2 linked regions of the Canis lupus familiaris genome follow. The protein of the gene in region 1 binds, or shares a complex with, the protein of each later gene. Links are inferred from orthologs where the notes say so. Each region holds a gene or a part of one and is shown in the gene's direction. Other genes may lie near its edges.

What was found.
Region 2: the proteins of CCNA2 (region 1) and GMNC are in contact, whole or in part, in a cryo-EM structure (PDB 9HIU), measured with the Homo sapiens proteins. The link is inferred for Canis lupus familiaris from reciprocal best matches to the Homo sapiens genes CCNA2 and GMNC. Residues at the interface, in NP_001228.2 of Homo sapiens: Met210, Ile213, Leu214, Asp216, Trp217, Glu220, Val221, Glu224, Arg250, Leu253, Gln254, Tyr280, Ile281, Thr282, Asp283, Thr285; in NP_001140158.1 of Homo sapiens: Asn165, Ala166, Lys167, Arg168, Asn169, Leu170, Ser171, Glu173, Phe174, Ala175.

Annotation. Positions count from the first base shown.
Region 1 is NC_049240.1:19,147,516-19,151,171, forward strand, and holds part of CCNA2 (cyclin-A2), read left to right. Parts: intron 1-88; coding exon 89-201; intron 202-393; coding exon 394-617; intron 618-1,170; coding exon 1,171-1,378; intron 1,379-1,796; coding exon 1,797-1,910; intron 1,911-2,316; coding exon 2,317-2,450; intron 2,451-2,779; coding exon 2,780-2,828; 3' UTR 2,829-3,582; coding exon of another isoform or gene 3,583-3,656. Other genes in the region: EXOSC9 (exosome complex component RRP45), read right to left, coding at 3,583-3,656. UniProt on the Homo sapiens protein: Cyclin which controls both the G1/S and the G2/M transition phases of the cell cycle. Functions through the formation of specific serine/threonine protein kinase holoenzyme complexes with the cyclin-dependent protein kinases CDK1 or CDK2.
Region 2 is NC_049255.1:22,977,255-22,980,115, reverse strand, and holds part of GMNC (geminin coiled-coil domain-containing protein 1), read left to right. Parts: intron 1-549; coding exon 550-666; intron 667-2,417; coding exon 2,418-2,861. UniProt on the Homo sapiens protein: Regulator of DNA replication. Promotes initiation of chromosomal DNA replication by mediating TOPBP1- and CDK2-dependent recruitment of CDC45L onto replication origins.

The DNA of each region.
Region 1 (3,656 bases):
TGAATGGGATGCCTTACAAAGCCAATCAGTTTGACTGTTAATTAGAAAATTAAACTATGAACTTAATCATACTTTTATATCCTCCCAGAGTCACCACATACTATGGACATATCAATTGTATTAGAAGATGAAAAGCCATTGAGTGTCAATGAAGTTCCAGACTACCATGAGGACATTCACACATACCTTAGGGAAATGGAGGTAACAGCTCTGGAATCCAGTTTTTATACTGTTATTCATTGTGGCAAAATGAAACCAAGGGGATGATTTTAAGTTTTTTAACTGCTAGTGGATTATTCTGTTGTATTTAGGTTTCTGGTATGTAGCATCTTTGTTAATGGTAGAATAATCTAATTGTAATTTTAACATTATACTAAGTAACTTTCTCAACAGGTTAAATGTAAGCCTAAAGTGGGTTACATGAAGAAACAGCCAGACATCACTAACAGTATGAGGGCTATCCTTGTGGACTGGTTAGTTGAAGTAGGAGAAGAATATAAACTACAGAATGAGACCCTGCATTTGGCTGTGAACTACATTGATAGGTTCCTTTCATCGATGTCTGTGTTGAGAGGAAAACTTCAGCTTGTGGGCACTGCTGCTATGCTCTTGGCCTCGTAAGTCCAACCTGGTTTGTTGGATTAAAAGTGATAACTTCTTGTGTAGGGAAGAAGTTGTGATTTTTAACATTGTGACATTTTAATATACACAAGGCAGAGAGTGACTACTTTAAGGGGTAGCAGTATGAAACAGAGTAAGAAACTAATTTAGGACATTAATTTTCCCAGATCTAGATTTCAGGGAATTTTCTTGAATGAAGATGGGAGACGGGCTATATTTTAATATGCTAGGACTAGATTACCAAGTTTAAAAGTGGTTCCTTCCATCAAAAAGTACTTTCTGGCATGAAATCTTCTCACCATTAAGACATGGAAACTAAATTCAAAAACTAAAAATGTTTATTTTTCTAAGAATTTCCTAAATTTTTAGTTACTTGGTGAATTCTGGCATTGTGGTGGAGTATAGGTTTTGGATTCATTCCATGTATTCTGCTAAAGGGATTTCAGAATTAGATAAACAGCTTGCTCTGCTAAAGGGATTTCAGAATTAGATAAACAGCTTGCTTCTCTTTTTGGAAGAACTGATTACTCAAAACTTTTTTCATTGTAGAAAGTTTGAAGAAATATACCCCCCAGAAGTAGCAGAGTTTGTGTACATTACAGATGATACCTATACCAAGAAACAGGTCCTGAGAATGGAGCACCTAGTTTTGAAAGTGCTTGCTTTTGACCTAGCTGCACCAACAGTAAATCAGTTTCTTACCCAATACTTTCTGCACCAGCAGTCTGCCAACTGCAAAGTTGAAAGTTTAGCAATGGTAAGTTCTTTTCATTTTGTTGAATGAAGATTTTTAGGTCACATAGTTTAATTACATAGCTTTGGTCAAGGGATTTAGTATTTCAGGGACAAAGTAGTGTTGCCGCATAAAAAGAGCCTACCATTGGCAAAAGAGAACATGAATTGGGAAAGTACCAGGAGTATAGTGGTATAAGGATGAAGTCTTAGGAAATGGTAGCCAGAAGAGTTGTTTTAAAAATTATTAAAAGAGGAAAAAGTTCAGGATGAGAATGGAGCAAAAAACACTAAGATAATGGATAAGGCTATGGGAGGTTTTTTCTTTGGTTGCCATAGAGCCAGTCTTAAAGAGTGGAAAATGTTAGGGCAGAAGGCAAAAATTTGAGGTTTGAATTCTAGAGCTCTTGTAATCATCAAGTGTATTTACTTTTTCATTCCAGTTTTTGGGAGAATTAAGTCTGATCGATGCTGACCCCTACCTAAAGTATCTCCCATCAGTTATTGCTGCAGCAGCCTTTCATTTAGCACTCTACACAGTCACAGGACAGAGCTGGGTATGTATTGCCATGCTTCACATGTCTACCTAGCAATTTGAATATTTAGGCCAGATAAGTTAGATAACTGTACAAGTGTTGGTGGTCTAGAGGTACCTACCTGGAAAAACAGTTCAAAAAAATCTAAGCTGCTTAAAGTTTACCTGTTTAGTAATATGTTTGTTACATAGAAAGCTTAGTTATTGCTTGGATTTGGAAGATGTGACCTACTACTGACAGGTAAAGTAATAAAAATTGATCAAAGTCAGCATAAAAGATGGATTTACAGCTTGAGAACACTAGATTGGTTAGTTGGAGGTGTTAGTCCTAAATTTAATGAAATTCAAGCTTAATACCAACTACTAACTCATTGTGTTTAGTGTTGCTAAAAACAAAACTCAGTGGTTCTCTACTCCTTTCTCTGCAGCCTGAATCTTTAGTTCAAAAGACTGGATATACCTTGGAAAGTCTTAAGCCTTGTCTCATGGACCTTCACCAGACCTACCTCAGAGCACCACAGCATGCACAACAGTCTATAAGAGAAAAGTATAAAAGTTCAAAGTAAGAATTAACATAAATAGGTATTAAAGAAGCTTGCTTTTCCTGGCTACTGTAGGATTCTGAGATCCTTGACATTTTATCAAAGGATTCAAAAGAGGCACAGCCTCCTCTTGGCAAGCCAACTGTTTTGAGCAAGTTGTAGTTAGAGGCTTTATGTTCTCCATTTGAGGGAGAGGAGGGGAGAGGAATGGGGCATGCATGCATGCTTTGTGGACCAGTGATTTAATAACCATTAATTCAGAATAGAAATAGCATTTTTGAGTTCCTAATTAGATGTATCATTCCATGATCTTACCTGATGAACATTTACTGTTTTTTCCTACTTACAGGTATCATGGTGTTTCTCTCCTCAACCCACCAGAGACACTAAATGTCTAACAGCGAAAGACTGCCTTTATTTTCTAAGATGTAAATCACTCAACGTATATGGTGTACAGTTTTTGTAAGGTTTTAATTTTACAATCATTCTGAATAGTTATGGTCAAGTACAAATTATGGTATCTATTACTTTTTAAATGGTTTTAATTTGTATATCTTTTGTACATGTAACTATCTTAGTTATTTGGCTAATTTTAAGTGGTTTTGTTAAAGTATTAATGATGCCACCTGTCAGCACAATAAGAGTAAGAACTAATAAATGGATTTGGAAAATTTGGTTTGTAAGTCAAATTGGTTTGACTTTAAGATACCACTCAGAAGAATTAATGTGATTTTACTATAGAAGGGGACTGGGAAGGCTTCTCTTGAAATTAAAAATAGTTTTAGGGAAACATTGAAGTTTTAATATTCAGTTTCCTAAGCAACTGGATCAATTTTGTGACTTGAGCATAATCTAAGCATATCTGGAATAAATCTGTGCTTATTTATCAGTTGTGATGATCCTGAGAATCTTTCAGCCCTTTGAACACACTATGAAAGTGCTTTTTCTTTCCTCAACTTTTACACTTTACAATTATTTAAAACCTGTTAAGTTGTCCAGAAGGTTAATATTTTAAAGCATAATGTAAAATGCTATGTAAAGAATCAACTAGATTTTATAATGGATTTGTGAGTAGAAAAATACCCAAAGTTATTAGCACTGAATAAATATCCTTTTAATAGTTATATATACAAACATACAACTCTATGCACTTCAATTGGCAGCTCTCTTCTTTTTTCTCTTTTTCACCGGCTTTTTACTTGGTGCTTTTTCTTGTTTTGCACTGA
Region 2 (2,861 bases), on another chromosome or scaffold:
ATAAACATAGCTTATCACTTGGAGAAGGGATGATGATTATAAAATTTTTGCAAAGATTGCTTCATTTTCCATGTTTTATTTGCTGTTGTTCCCGAGAGAGTAATTTAATCTAGTGGATATACAAACAGATTAGCCTGAGGATGAGGGAAGCCAAACCACCACCACCCTTGTTTTTCATCTTTTCTTAACATGCAAGGAAGGAGTCTAGTGAAACCTTTCTAAACACCTTTTTCTATATTTAAACAGTTGCACGCAGCTCATTTTCCTACATACCTTCCCAATTCCCTTGTGGTTACAACTTTGAAAGTCATATAATCTCTTCAAATACTTTGCAGTGAATAAAAGGTTCAGAGCACAAAACTGAACAATGAGGTGGTGGGTGGGTGTAGATTGAATTTAGGCCTGAGAGGACGAGGGCTCCCTGAGGTTGCGTTCATAAAACAAATAGAATAATAATAAAGTTTAAGCAGGTTAAGGATCAGTGGCATGATTATACAGTTACAAAGTCAATAGAGTAGAGGGGCCTTCACCACTGTATGCTTTTCGCAGCTCCAAGACACTCTAGTGCAGAAGGAAGAAGAACTCGCTAGGTTACACGAAGAGAATAATCATCTCAGACAATACCTGAATTCTGCTGTGGTTAAATGTCTTGAGGAAAAGGCCAAGGTATGTAACCATCCTGTTCCTAAGAGCAGAGCAGTGATTTGAGAATGGAGATCATTGGGGTAAAACTGACTTGACCAAAGTAGAGAAGGTGTACTTGAAGCATGGCTTCAAAGGCATTCATAGGCTAAATGGATTTTTCTGAAAGAAATACAGCACTTTCTTAAAAATATATATTTTATTTATTTATTCATGAGAGACACAGAGGGGCAGAGACACAGGCTCCCTGCGGGGAGCCCGATGCAGGACTCAATCCCAGAACCCCAGGATCATGACCTGAGCCAAAGGCAGACACTCAACCACTGAGCCACCCAGGCGTTCCAATATGGCACTTTCACAAGACTTCTTATGTATCATTTCTTGGAAGTTTCTAGACTGTAGATTTTAGCCATATATTACAAAAAGAGTTGCTTCAGGATCAAAAATCAGTCAAGGGAATTGCTAAGACAACAGAGGTTAATCAAAAGACAGAGTTAAATGGATGGAACATTGCAGTGGGAATCAGATCTGAAAGACACTCGGTTCTTTTAATTATCTGCTGGGCTTTTGGTAAATTGCTCTTTCACTTAGCCTCACTCACCTACCTCTGTAAATGCAGAGGCTAAAAGATCCTTTAAGAATCTCCCCAGCTCTAAAATGTTATGAATAGGGTTAGAGCCCAGATCTTTTGATTGGCCATTATATATTGCTGATGACATCATCTTTCAGTGAACATTTTTTCTTACTTTTCAAAGGGACTATTTCTGACTCAAGGACAAATAGCTTGTCCATAGTCTCTTTCTGTTCTTCCTTTCTCTGGGTTTTGTATTTTTGTTATCTTTTTGCCCTTCTGCTATCATTATTTCTTTCGTCATCAATCTTTACCTTGCTGCTAGACAAGCTCCATTATTTGATATTATTTAAATAAACTCAATTTAATTTAAATTGATGATGTTCCTTACCATTTTCACTGGAAATAATAGTTCAAAGAAGAAAGGGTACCATATCTGATTCCTCTGTAATTTAGTTACAATCCAGTCACCTTTTTAAGAAAAGGAGCATATCTCCCAGTTACAAGCTTGGGCTCCTAACTCCAACCACCATTTTGTAAAAAAAAAAAAAAAAAAGACATTTATTGAATTAGTAAATTATATTGATTAGCAGTTTTCTCTCTCTTTTCCCAATTGTTTAAGATGTAGAATAATACATGTCACTTGAGAGTACTATGAAAGTTAATGAAATAAGAAGAAGCAGTGTTAGATATTGTTTCAATCAGTTACTCTGTCTAGATTCAGATGGCTTACATTTAATCAAGGCTGCATGACCCTTAGTAAGTCGCTAATATGCCTGTGTCTCAGTTTCCTCACTAAAGAGGATTTTATAAAATGAGAATATTATGCATGTAGTAGGTGTTCAATACATGATAGTTGCTATTATTGTCATTATTATAATAATTACTTCTCTGAATTGAAAATTTAAAGACATTATTTCTTTCTTTCAAGTTTTATATGATTAGTAAAACATGAGTTATGGTTTCTAGGTAGTAACTTGTCATTATAGATGTTAATTTAGAAACAAGCTAATCTAATCACTTTTGCTCGCTCGCTCTCTCATGTGCACACATGAGAGAGAGAGAGAGAGAATAGAATTTTAATCACATTTTCTAAGGAATTAAGGGGACTAGTAAGTATTTGGAGGAGTTTTAAGCAGACAATGTAAAGAAAATTATCTTGGTTGACTGTCTGACCATATATTTTCAAATGCTACTTCCCTAGAAATTGCTGTCATCAGATGAGTTCTCCAAAGCATGTGGACAATTCAGAAAGAGAAAGAGGAAACCCAGAGAGCAAAGATATTTTCCTCCTGAGATCCCCCATCACAAAAATGCCAAGAGAAACCTCTCTAGTGAATTTGCTAACTGTGAAGAACAACCTGGGCCCCCTGTGGATCCCTGGGTTCTTCAGACACTTGGGTTAAAAGACCTCAACACCATCGATGACACTTTATCAGCTAACTACAGTGCCTTCTTTTCTCATCCCAGAAGAACTGCCAGCACATTTCCCTCATTTCTGGATGGTGCAGTTGATTATGAAAATATCCCCAGGGAGGATCTGCCAATTAACTATGGAGGTGACGGAGCAACCCCCTCACATAGCACTGCCAGGCCCAGGGAAGATTTCCACTTCCTTTCTCAACTTTCAAACCCTCCAGGAGGGCTG